Caenorhabditis elegans: one gene and its partner. The protein of the gene in region 2 purifies or fractionates together with the protein of the main gene of each other region. This does not show direct contact. Each region holds a gene or a part of one and is shown on either strand. Other genes may lie near its edges.

Evidence for each region.
Region 1: the proteins of T18D3.1 (region 2) and Y105C5A.13 fractionate together in Caenorhabditis elegans (co-fractionation; one large-scale study listed by BioGRID). This does not show direct contact.

Annotation. Positions count from the first base shown.
Region 1 is NC_003282.8:15,638,412-15,644,328, reverse strand, and holds Y105C5A.13 (SMP domain-containing protein), read right to left. Parts: upstream 3,099-5,917; coding exon 2,990-3,098; intron 2,854-2,989; exon of another isoform or gene 2,818-2,853; coding exon of another isoform or gene 2,726-2,817; intron 2,679-2,725; coding exon of another isoform or gene 2,540-2,678; exon of another isoform or gene 2,530-2,539; intron 807-2,529; coding exon 663-806; intron 616-662; coding exon 524-615; 3' UTR 501-523; downstream 1-500. Other genes in the region: Y105C5A.12 (SMP domain-containing protein), read left to right, coding at 2,540-2,678, 2,726-2,817.
Region 2 is NC_003284.9:12,451,584-12,459,462, reverse strand, and holds T18D3.1 (WD repeat-containing protein 89), read right to left. Parts: upstream 4,719-7,879; 5' UTR 4,699-4,718; coding exon 4,509-4,698; intron 4,461-4,508; coding exon 4,189-4,460; intron 3,535-4,188; coding exon 3,230-3,534; intron 3,175-3,229; coding exon 3,075-3,174; intron 3,021-3,074; coding exon 2,860-3,020; intron 2,370-2,859; coding exon 1,826-2,369; 3' UTR 1,506-1,825; downstream 1-1,505. Other genes in the region: Nuclear hormone receptor family member odr-7, read left to right, coding at 41-183, 231-394; T18D3.9 (Mitochondrial inner membrane protein Mpv17), read left to right, coding at 5,147-5,216, 5,919-6,025, 6,068-6,160, 6,214-6,342, 7,823-7,879.

The DNA.
Region 1 (5,917 bases), on a different chromosome or scaffold from region 2:
CTTGCAAAAGTGTTTTTACTGTACCATTACGGTAAATAAGTAAGTAAGGCCAAGCTCTTTTCAATTAAAATAGTACTTACGCGCCTCTAGATAATTATAGCCTACAAGAATAGCGATTATTGCGTTTGGAGCTCTCAGCATCCTACCCATGCTCCAGGATGCGTTGTCTTTACAATTTGCTTGCCCTGAACCTGAGTTTTCGTAAGTTGTTCTATTCTACGTCTGTGCCTTTCTACAGTACTCTGAGTGGGACCAGCCAATGAGAACGTCCACTAGTTTTTTTTTTTGAACAGTTGGTCAGTTGCTATTTGTGAGCAAAAACTAACATGCAAGGAAGCTCTCTCGGTTTTTACAGACAAGACCCCTCCCGGCTTCCACAGGTTCTGAACAAACTCCGATACTTTCCTCACAGCTCCACAGCTCCACAGCTGAAAGCTCCAGCTTTCCAATGCCGTACTTTTTATTTCAAAATACCAAAAAAACGTTTAAAAATTAACATTTATTAACAAATCCTTAAAATCAATTATCTCTTTGCTGCAGCATTTTCTCTGGCGGTTTTCATATGGCTTTTGGTCCAGTCGGCCACATTCCGTGCGTTGTCTGCACTTGGTTGATCTGAAAATGTTCAATTATTATAGAAAGTTAACACTAATTAAACTTACATCTATAGTTGGGATTCGCATTTCCCGGACGTCCCTGGTAATTTGAAGAGATTGGAGGCATATCGTTGTGCCGACCGGCCAGGGCTCCGGCCATGTCTTTTCCGACGGTTCCTGGCTGTGAACGTGGTGTAGTGGGCATTTTGGCTGAAATTTGAAAATTTAGTGAGAAAATGAAGAGAAAACTGATTTTTCTATATTATCCGGCCAACTTTTTATACGGGCGGTTTTGCTTGAACCCCGCCCACTTTTCACGCTCTTTTATCAGAAACTCGTATAATTGCGTGTGACTTCGCTAGGTGAGCAAAAAATTGTTTTTGCACTTATTCCCGTCACAATGGCGCCACATAAAACTCCATCGTAAAACTCTGATCGGAAATGTGTACGATGAATGAGTCACGGTTAATATTATAGAATTTACTAATATCAATAAAATGAGCTGGAATACAGCGAAAAAACGAATTTTCAATATTCGGAACACTATCTTTAAAAATTGGAGTTCAAATAACATTTTGGCTTATATTCAGCCAAATCCAATAAAAAATGTCGATGAAAAGTTTTAGAGGTTACCGTATGCACTACAGGACATTCCTAATCAATCATCATGTCCCATAACATTAATTCCACAACTGTTATCCTGTATCAAGTGACCGGAAACTTGAAAATGTTATGAAAACTCTAGCTTCTTGCCAATCACTTTGAACTTCTGTTTTTTCAGCTCTAGGTTCTGGGTTCTGGGCTCTGGGCGCGTTGGGAATAGAACATATTGAACTTTCGCCCAAAGACAAATGTTTTTGGCGAACTGTGGTTGTTTGCTCACTCTAAACAAAAAAAACAATTTTCGAAGAATTCAGGAAGATCGAAATGTTCGGCATTGTGACCAAGTTGTGGATCTGTCTAAAATTGGAAATAATTAATCAACAAAATGCGCTCTGCAGTTTGATATTACGGTTTTAGACAATATTGCCTAGTTTGAATCTCGCTCCCACCTGTGTCTTATCGTTCACTTCAATCGCCAAAAAAGTAAATTGTTTAGTGAGCAAACAATTACAGTTTGCCAAAATCATTTTTCTTCGGACGAAAGTTCAATATATTCTATCCCCAACGAGCCCAGAGTCCCGGGTCCAAAGCCCAGAAACCAGAAATTCAAAGTGATTGGCATGAAGCTATAGTTTTCGAAACATTTTCAAGTTTCCGGTCACCTGATACAAGATAAAAGTTTTGGAAGTAATGTTAAGGGACATAATATTTGGTTAGAAAGGTTCGGAATCATCTAGACTTTTTGATGAACATTTTTCATTGGATTTGGCTAAATATGTTATTTGAACCTCAATTTTTAAAGGTGGATTTGAGCATTTGCTATTTAGATCCAAAACGGTCCAAAACTGCCGAATTTTGAAATGAAACGCTCTAAAATTTATTTTTAAGAAAAGTCATGATGGTTCAAAAAAATATATGTTTTTGGCCATTTTGGTATTTTGCTTTAAAACTGTAATTCAAACAACACATTGGATTATTTTCAGAAAAATCCAATGAAAATTGTTTATTGACCCTAAATTTGTTGGTCACAATTACTTCAAAAATAGTATTCCAGCTCATTTTATAGATATTAGTAATTTTTATTAACTGTGACTCATTCTTCGTACACATTTCCGACTAGAGTTTTATGATGGAATTTTATGTGGCCATTGTGACGGGGATAGCGGTTGAAAACAATTGTTTCTTGCTCACACATAGCGAAATCACGAGCAATTATCATACGAGAGCGTGAAAAGTGGGCGGGGTTCAAGCAAAACCGCCCGTATAAAAAGTTGGCCGGATAATATAGAAAAATCAGTTTTCTCTTCATTTTCTCACTAAATTTTCAAATTTCAGCCAAAATGCCCACTACACCACGTTCACAGCCAGGAACCGTCGGAAAAGACATGGCCGGAGCCCTGGCCGGTCGGCACAACGATATGCCTCCAATCTCTTCAAATTACCAGGGACGTCCGGGAAATGCGAATCCCAACTATAGATGTAAGTTTAATTAGTGTTAACTTTCTATAATAATTGAACATTTTCAGATCAACCAAGTGCAGACAACGCACGGAATGTGGCCGACTGGACCAAAAGCCATATGAAAACCGCCAGAGAAAATGCTGCAGCAAAGAGATAATTGATTTTAAGGATTTGTTAATAAATGTTAATTTTTAAACGTTTTTTTGGTATTTTGAAATAAAAAGTACGGCATTGGAAAGCTGAAGCTGTCAGCTGTAAGCACTTTCAGACCATTCATTTGACCTGAAAGTTAATGGAAGTTACTAGAAAAAATGGCAGACTATATTCACCTTGGTTGGCAGAATTTGCATTCCCGTGCCTTGCTTGTGAGCTAGGTGGCTGACGGGCTTCTTGTGACGCCGCCAGTTTTTTGTTTGATTCCGACTGTGCACGATTCATTGTTCACGGAGTTGATAGACCGCTTGAGAAAAAGAATGCAAGAAAGTAATGGAAGGCAGCCTTTTTATATGTAGGCTCAACGGAAACTAGAGGGTTGGCAGAAAAGTTGAGATTCTTATCAGTAACGGAAACTGATTATCAGTTTGTTGACGTTTTGTTCGCCGCAGAAAAGAAAAGCGAGCAAGGTTTTGCAATTGATAACAGAATTGGAAGCACATTGATCACTACAGAAAGCATGAGTCATTCGCCTTTCCGTCACAGTATTTTTACAGTACTCCTACAGTAACCCAGACAGGCAGCACAAACTATGATGTCATCTGCTCTAAGTACTATAATATTTTGACAAAAAAAACTAGTCTCTAGTTTAGTACAGACAACAATAGCTGAAAATATAATGTCATGTCATATAACTAGTTAGTAGAGCAATTTGTCACTTTTCAAACATTTTCCTACCTTACGAAAGTCTATAATTATCTATATATCGGTCTACTTAAGGCTTGTCAGACTCCTCTAAACAATGAAAAAATCAATTTGTCACTTTTTTCCTGACACCTATAATAATGATTCACAATATAACAACTTTGGTTTCTTTTTCTTTTTTCCGCACCTCGTGCCAAAATTGACATCACAACAAAACCCCCCAGGGCTATAATTATCCCCCTCCTACTTGTCAGCTGGCTCATTTTGACTCCTTCAAGCCGCCACCAAAATGAGCACCCGTCTCATAATCCCCGCTAACTTTTCCTACGATGATCCTCTGCCATTCACTTGTAACGAAGATTCGCATGTGATGCTTTCCGTATTGGAGTATTTGGTTCAGGCGACTTATCTGTCTCTCAGTGTCGTTTTGAATTCTATGATAGTTTATACGATATTCAGGTTTAAGGGAAACCATTCGTATCGGGGGAACCCGTTTTTTGTGTTGTACGCTGCGGAGGCAGTCATGGTGAGTTACCTGAAGTGCCTAGTGTCTATTGTAACAAAGCAGTAGCTGATAAGGCTAACTCGGCAAGTTAGCTAGAATCGAGGAATTTACGACAAAACTGTGAAAAAGTATAGGTTTATTATTATTTGTTTTCAACGTGAAATTTTTGTGCAACTTTATAGAATCTCAAAATTTAGCGGATGAAAAACCTGTCCAAACATTTTCACGTGAATATACAAAACAATTTTTTGCTTTAATTTTAGGCACTTTCAGAGCATCCGGGTCTCAAAATAAACATGATATTCGTGTTTAACGTGTTCTCAACATTCTAAAAACTATTTTTTCGACCCACAAAGCTCAATATCAATTTTTCGCCCATTTTTTCGGAAGGCAAAGGTCCACTTTCGTTTTTCAGAGCGGAGGACGATTTTGGAGATGAGCCAACATTTTTGAAAAATTCTTTCGGAATCTAATAGAGGACCTAAAAGTACGATGTTTCATCAAAATTTTAAACGAAAATGTTGAAAATGGGGGATTTTATGAGCAAAAATCAATAATTGCAAAAATCTGTGTGTAAATTTTCTGAAACTAATGATATTAATATGTATTTAAGTGTTAAAACATGAAAATATTTATACAATAATTCTTAGTTTATTTTATTTTGATAGTATCTATCATCTTCAAAATGTGGAAGCCAACAGATTTGTTTTTTTTTTAATTTTTAGAATAGCAAATTTAAAAAATGACAACAAAAAAAGAGTGCAAGAGTAATAATGTGTGAAAATTACCATAACAATTCAAAAACTGATAGACCACTTTTAAGAATATTCTTGAATCATAGAGTGTGAAATTTGTAGAAGAACTATGAGCACTGCAGTGGAATTTCAAAAAAAAATGGTTGCGAAATTTCTAAAGAACACTCCAGATAACTTACTGCCAGTCCAAATGCTGAACTGATCACATCAAACAAAGTCATATTCTAAATTATCCTCATTAAAATTATATATATCAGCAAAAGGTGCAAGTTAAGGCTTGGTGATCCACAAATCTTCCTAGACTCGGTAAATTTTGTATCTTCAAACAGGCATATCTCAAAAAATACACGTCTCACAAACAAATGTTCAACTACAAAAATGATTAGAAATACATTTTCTTTCTTTTGCATTACTTTTGCTTACAAAATATTAATTATTTATTGAGTTACACAGAGTCAAAGCCATTTTGCCAAAAATCACAAAAAATTTTGAGAACTCGTTTGTTGTACCAGTCATAACCCAAACTCTATTAAATTTCAGAAGAAAAAATTTTAATGTATAATAAGTAAAAAATTTTTCTTCACATTTTAACAATAATAAGTATTTTCAAATTTTCATGATCAGCCAAGTTACAGACCGTTTTCTGAAAAAATCCAATTTTGCTCATAAAACTCTTCATATCCCACGTATCGACTTGAAATTCTGAAAAATGATCACTTTTTTGAGGTTTTTATAATGTCCTAAAAAATCCTTCAAAAAATCCTGCTAATCTCCGTAATCGTCCTCCGCTCTCAAAAACGAAAGTGGACCTTTGCCTTCCGAAAAAATAGACGAAAAATTGAAATTGAGCTTTTTGGGTCGAAAAAATAGTTTTTAGAATGCTCAGAACACGTTAAACACAAATATCATGTTAATTTTGAGGTGCGGATCCTCTGAAACAGTCTGACATAGATTTAAAAAAAAGCATAGATTTATATTTTCATTTTCAACGTGAAGGTTATGTCTCTAAATTTTGAGATTCTTTTGGAATCTAAAAGCTGCACAAAACTTTCAAGTTGAAAATAAGCCTAAGCCAAAGCCTAAGCCTAAGCCGAAGCCCAAGCATCTCTCCACAAAGTTCCGCACTGCCGCGCCTACGC
Region 2 (7,879 bases):
GAAAACTGTTAAGTTAAAAAACCCCATCATAAAATTTCAGAAGAACTATCAGCGATGACAAACGATATGTCTGTAAGAGGAACCAACGGTGCAATAATGCAAGCCGCGATGGAACTGGGTATCGGAAGATTTGTCGGAGTTGTCGAATGAAACGATGTCTGGAAATTGGAATGCTTCCAGAAAGTTGGTTTTTTTTTGTCAAATCATAATGCTCACCAAATTTATGTCAGATGTGCAGCACAAGCGAAATCGTCGAGATTCTGGATCCCCGCCTCGTAAAACTCCATTTGACACTTTCTTCAACGGATTTTACCCCTCATTCCAACCTTCTGGATCAGCAGCTCAACCGATCACTGTATCCTCAAGTGAATCACCTCGTCACACAACTAATTGAGCGTGATAATTGTTTATCTTCCGATCTCAAAGCATAAGTTCCAGTTCTATTATTACCGATACTCACAATGTGATTCAATAAAAAATAATTTACTTCGATCTGGAAAGGGCTAAGGCAGTTCTTTCATAAAACGTATTGAAACAGTAAAAACGGTCCCCAGTATGTAAAAGAAACATCGATCTGATCAGTCATACTATTTTTCTAATCAATAGTTTTTTTTTCAATTAGATAGTGTTTTAATAGTAAGTTTTTCTAAAGTCAGGAAAATAAATATCAAATAATTATCTGATTTTTTAAATGTAAAATTGGAATAACGAGGCAAATATTTTGAAAACATTTTTTTTGTTTTCTGTGTAGAACAAGTTTTGTTTTAAATGATATCATATAACCAATTTCATTTAACAGTAATTAACTAATTTAAAGATATTAGGCGTCGTGGTTACAATTACTGCTTTTTGGTTATAATTCTTTTATGAACATTTGCACATACTGTTTAATTTAATTTTCATTGCAACTTGGCTAACGGAGAATGCTATTATCTTCTTACTTTTGTAATAATTATTTTGTACAACATGTGTAGTTGAAATTTTGAAGGAACACAGCAACCAATGACAGTATTGAATAAGAAACTCGTACTCAATTTGAAAGATACTTTTCTATATTTGCTTTATTGCGCGCTGTGATGCAATTTATACGGAAAAACCTGTCTATATGTTGACTTGCGATAGTTTTCCCTGTCGTTGATGACAATCGCAAAGACCTAAATTCCGTGGAATGTTCTACCGGGAATCTCAACATCCAATTGACACCTGTTGTCATCTGGGGGTATAGCTCAGTGGTAGAGCGCTCCCTTAGCATGGGAGAGGGCTGGGGTTCAATTCCCCATACCTCCATAAGTTTTTTGCATTATTAATCGAGTTCATTTACATAAAGGCAAACATCTATAGCAGCACTCTAGCACTCTGGTAGAATGGTGTTATTGGAAGTTAAATGAAACTAAATATAATAATAATAATTGTTAGACTCAGATTTTTTTTCTTAATAATTGTTAGACTCAGATTTTAATGTAAAGTGTTATTCCAACATAAGTGGTTAAGACTAATTTCAAAGTTTTACCCATTTTTCAATTGCAATTTATTCAACAAAAAATAGACTTTTAGGTAGATCTGTCTGAGGAATGCTCAATAAATTTGAATCATGGGGATCAATAGTTGCAAGGAGATCCGAGACTGAAAGTAAGACTGGTGTAAATTTAACAAAAAATCAATAAAGAAATGCTTGGGATGAGCGAAATTTTGTTCTATGATATTATAATTTCAATAAATTATAACTTAATTTAAATGGGCGAAAAATGATAAGGCTTTTGGGAGAAGAACTGGGGTTGAAAGTGATAAATAAATAAATAAATATAAAACAAAAATTATGAATTGCCTATGGAGCTTTGGACCGTTTAGAGCTCGATCCAGCTCCCTCTTCATTGTCGCGGTGTCTTTTCTTTTGCTCATCGTGTTCCTTCTCTTTTCTCTCCTGACGCTCCTTTTCTTTCTTTTCCTTTCGCTTACGTTCCGCGCGTTCCTCCTCAGTTTCGTGCTTTTTATCCTTCTTCTTGGGCTTTTCCTCCTCCCGATGACCATCTTTCTCCTTCTTAGCCTTCTTTTCCGCTCGTTCACGTTCCTTTTCCTTTCGTGCTTTGCGCTCCTCTTTTGTTTCATGTTTGGATGAAGAAGATGACGAAGTAGAAGCTGCCGATGAAGTTGATGGAATGTCGTGTTTGTCCTTCTTATGTTTCGAAGAAGAAGACACTGATGCAGATGCAGATGTACTTGGCTTTGATCCATCATCCGACTCGGAATCATCAGATTCGGAGATAGCTTCATCGTCTTTCTCGAGACCTTTGTCTTTAAGTTCTGCCAAATTGCCACGGTTCAGTGTCAGACGGTGGTGGTTAATGTTGTCATCGCCAAACTTGGGGTTTCTGAAAATAAAAGTTGTTATGCGATATGCATTTAAGTTTTTGATGGCAAGATCTACAGTGAATATGGAAAATGTAAACACTTTCTGATTTTCAAGGTGTAAATGTGCTGCTTTAATGGATATTGGTGGAGTACTGAAGTTTGATACATTGTTATTTTAGACCCAAAATGGTTCAAAAAAACATAACTTCGAAGTTTTTTAAAAACATTTTGAACTGGCAATTTTGAATATTTTAAGGCACTATAAAAGTTACAATTTATAATTTAAAATGGTTGTTTTTCATGCTCAATCAACTTGCGAATGAAAATAATCAACTTCAACTTTTTAGAGGTTAATAAAAATCTAAAAATCGCATATCAAAAAATCTGGCAATGCAATAGAAATTGTTCAATGGTTTCATTGTTTTATCAAATGATTTTTCAAACTCTGATTTGTTTCTAATTTTTAGCATCTATTACATTAGTTTCCTGTCCTTCTCAAAGTATACTTACTTAAAATTGGCAATCTGCACAATAACTTTTCCATCTTCTCCGCCGGTGAGCAGAAGATCCTTGGTTGCGGCCATGCACTTCACTTCTCCTTTGTGACCTTTGTAGCTCAACATTGGCTTCTCTTGACGGACACCATCTTGGTTCATTGCTGTCATAGAGATCTGGAAGAAAAGTTTCAGTTGCAATTCAGTTTGATTTGAGACTTAAACCCTTACAATTTTCTTCTTCTTGACACCATGAACCCCCACCAATGGAATATCGTCGTTCACTCCTTTGATGAGCCCAATGCACCATTCTGGATCCTTGTAATATGCTCTGAAATGTTTTTTTTTTGATTTAGAGTTGCGATCAATTTACTACAAAAACTCACTTTGAAGTCCCAACAACTGGATCATCGGCGCTTTCAGTGACACTTCCATAGAGAACCTCCAATTTTCCTTTACTGTCAACAAATACTGAAGCTTGAGATTGTCGGGAGATTCCATACACAATTCGCTTGTTGATCACTCCAACTTTGGAGATGGGTCCCGTTGCCCAGCGCTCCCACCGAACAGCATTATCTTCATCTCGAAGTTGACAGTCAAACGACTTGATGGAGCCGCTCTCATCTCCTAGGATCAGATCGTTTCCGTTCAAGTAAAACTCCATACTTGTTACTGACGATTTGAGCCGTTTCTGAAAAAAAAAAATTTGTGATTTTTTTAAATATCGTACTATAATTTTGTTGCCAATATATAATGACAAAAAATACAAAATTTTTTTCAAAGTCTGATGATTATTGTGGTTGTGTTAATCGATTTTGCGATTTTTACTTGTATATACTTGAAATGTGCCAGACTGAACGAATTTACAATTAGTAATAAGACTTCTCAACTTTTGTTTTAAAAATGTATATTGCGGTTCAAAATTTCGATAAAAGTTGCCTAATTTTAGCTAAAACCTCCAATTTTTCAAATTTTTCCGTGTCGCAGCGATCCGAAATTTATTTTTATTTAACAATCATTTTTCATTGCAGTCGTTTATCTCAATTTTTTGTAACATAAAGTACATTTTAGGCCGACAGGTAATGTTTTGGTCATTTTGGTTACCTATTGACTTTAAATGTACTATAATTAACAAAAGAAAAAACGACTAAAATGTACCACAAAGGATAAGAATTACATAAAAGCTATTTCGCAACTTCCAGAGCACGGAAAATAATGCAAAATTTGATATTTTATCTGTCATTTTGCAACTTTTTTAAAGTTTTGATTTTTCCGGAACAATTTGAGTCTCTACAGGCGATAAACCCAACCCAACACTGAAATTCCATCTTGATGACACACTTACGAAGTAGCTAGTAATTGGATCATTCGGGTAACGCAGGTCGTAAAGTGAAACAACATGATGATGATGCTCACGACGTCGAGAACCCCGAACGTCAAGGATTCCACCTCCAAACTCGGAGCTAGCGACTGCAATAGTTGTGCTGTTCGACGACAATGCAGTGCAGACGACGTTGTGATTCTCAGACTCTGGGTTCATGCGATGCTTCTTCTTCGAGTCGGTGCGGAAATCAAAAGTGTGAAGTCCAAATGAATCGTCGACCGCGTAGATTACAGCTGAAATTTAACAATTTATTTCATTTTTATTTTAAATCTCTTTCTCACATTTCTTATTGAAACTGAAATGAATTCCAGCAATCTGGTTGGGCACCTCATAGCGACGAATCACCTTTCCAGAATCTAGGGAGAAGATTGGAATGTAGAGATTTGCCAAATATGCGCATGCGGTGTTCTCATCGTTGACACTGAGCAGTCTGACCGATGCATTGGAGCTCAAATCGATTCTAACCGGCATTTCGAGTTGAGGTCGCTACTCTGAATATAATATTTTGGTATTAAAAAATTGGGACAAAAATTGTAAATATAAATCATTAAAGAACGTTTGTTTCAAAAAGAAAGTTTTGATTTGTTTGGAATTAGAATGAAAAAGAAGAGGATTAAAATCGATAATTTAACAGACTAGTGGGCAGAGAGGAGGGGGAGATATAAAATGGGGACAACACTAAACACAGGGAGAAAAGGTAAGGTGCGCGCGTTCGGTGGTATCTAGGCCACGCAATTTTTTCCTAACCACAGTAAACGCGCTCCATTGAGAAAGTGGACTTTAGTACAAACGCTCGTATTGATGTTTGGCACGTACGTGTGAATTGCAGCTTGTGAATAAGCTGTTAGTCTATTTTTCAATAGTTTCAGGCAAAATTTGGAGAATTATTGAATATAAAAACAGTTTCAGGGATACAATTATGGTAATAATACTATTTATTCGACGAAGATTAGCAACAAATCCACTTTCAACGCAGATGTGCATAGCTGGTGAGTATGGAAACTCGAGGAACATGATAAAAAAGGAAACACAAATTTTAAGACAAGATTGGCAATATAAACATGTTTAGCTGAATTTGTTTTAAAAGTAAATCCTACGTTAATTTATAAGCAAACCTTATTATGTTAGAGACTTATCGGATAGAAAAGTAAGCTAGAACTAATTAAAAATTGTTTTAAACACAATAAATTGCTCTTTCGTTATTCCAGCTCAATTTTTTGAAATTGCTCTATTTACATTCGTTGTGAACATTCTTCTTGAAAAAAATATTTATCTTATCTTTCTGCTAATTTAAGACAACTATTTCCCAAAAACAGGATATATCCAAGAATTGAAGTTTCCCAATTGACTTTTTCTGGTTGACCGGAATCGAATTATCGATAAACTGAAACGTGATAGCCTGATATTCATATTTAATAAACAAATGAACAAAACTTAAAAAAAATTGATCGAAAACGTATTGAATCAAATATTTAAAATTTATATCAGGGTGACAGCAAAAAACCGATTACATAATTAAAATTGACCACTCTATGATTTAAAAACTAAATTGTGCACACAAAACGCGCCAACAATGTATTTGCGCATCTTTCGTGTTGTGATGGTTTGGTTCAGGCAAGACAAGTTGCTTGATAGAAGAAAGAGGATAGATAATTGGTTATAAATTTGGAAATATGAAGAGTACTTTCCAGGAACAATCAGTGGATCTGGTGACTGTTTAGCGCAATACTTATCGCATAACCAAGAATGGGATCGTTGGAGGACGGCCCGATTTTCATTTTTGTCAAGTTGTTTTATGGTGAAACTTGCCTTTAAGAAATTTTTTTTATAGTTTATTCAGGCGCCATCATTGTTCATATGGTTTCGTTTGCTGGAAAAAGTGAAAGGAAATAATAAATCACTACTTCTTGTTAAAAAACTTTGCATTGACCAGGTGATTAACATCAAATTTATAAAAATAACAACCTTTAAAATACAATTTTCCAGCTCTGTTTTAGTCCTTGCTTTAACGCCGCAATACTGTTCAATCTCCGGCTATTGCAACACCAATCAGCGGAAAAGTCGTGGGATCTTCTAAAAGAAGATTGGTTCAACATTTATGCAACAAGTTTAAAGGTACATACATTTTTTTGGAAAATTAGGAAAAAATACATTCATTTTCAAAGCTTCATTCAAAGATTAGATGAACAATTCAAAGATTGTTTAGACTTAAGTTTCTCAGTTACAGTTTTGACGAATTAGCTAATAATAAAAAATTAAAAGTGCCCGTATAAAGCCATACAATCTTCAACCATAAATTATTAAAATACAATAAAAATATCAAGCTTGTAGTAAATTATTTGGTCGGCGAATGAAGTTTAAATAGTTGTAAACAAGGAAAATGCCACTTTTTGATAGTAATACAACTTTTTAGAAATAGTTTTTAGAAAGTTTTACTTAAATATGTAACTAGCTCCATAAAAGCAATTTTGAACATTATCTACTGGCGCTATGCTTTGTTTCAATTTTGGGTAAATCAGTTAATAAAATTAAAACATAAAATGACACAACATATATTTTTTTTCTATTTTAACATTCTTAATTATCACAACTAATCTCTGATTTCACATTCGTTGCGCTCAACCCAGTTCCCTCAAATTTCGAAACTTTCTTCTAATCGGAACACACACTGGACATCTCTATTACCTTTTCTTTTTCTCTCACCCATTTTTCCCTCTCCAAATGACAGAATGAGGACTCCTTTCTCTTCGCGCCTCATCTCCCAGCAAGGCGTCTCAACGAAAAGAGACAGCCGAGAAAATGTGCGGGTCGTCGCCGCAATTGAGCCACTGCTGCCTGCATTTGTCGCCTATCGCTGGCTCGTCGCGACGCGGACACGCAACATCCAACTGCTCCAACATTGCGAGTCCACATCGCCGGCGGTGTCGTCGGAGCGATTCGCAAGTCGCCAACGGGTTTCCATTGCGACATCTATGTCGCACCGGCGGTCCTCTTCGTTATCGGCGATGCGAGTTTTGTCGTTGCGACGTGGTGAATCGCTGGTGCGATTCGTCGTCGTGTGCGCGAGTGTCGCATTTGCGACTCGTCCTCGCCAAAAGAGCAGAGCTTTATCCCGAAATTGAAAGAGTGCACAATAAAAAGAGGATGCATTGATATTCACAAAATGAGGATTGGATCAACATAGATTTGGAGGAAGACGAACAAAAACTGATGCTGAGGAGAAATAGTTCGAATAAAAATAAAGTATCAATAGCATCATCACCATATTGCTGAAAACTGTTTTTCAACTTGTATTATAAACATTTAAAGGCCTCTAACTGTTAAAAATTATGTGAAAAATAAGGTTGATTGTAGTAGAATTGCTTATTTTGTGAAGTAATACATATATAATTTCAAAACATTATCTCGATCAGCAAAGCTTTATTAAGAAGTTTTCTGATTTAGAAGCAATTTACACGTAATGAAAATTACAATAAAAGTGAATTTTTGACAGAAAACATGCGCCACGTCAGCGTGAAACCTAACTAACTTCCAAATCATTTTTTATTATTGCCAAGCACTCAAAAATTTATGTCGTACAAAAATACTATTCCAGGTTTGGCCATTTGTTCAAGTTGTGAATTTGTGCTTTGTTCCACTCAATTATCGAGTA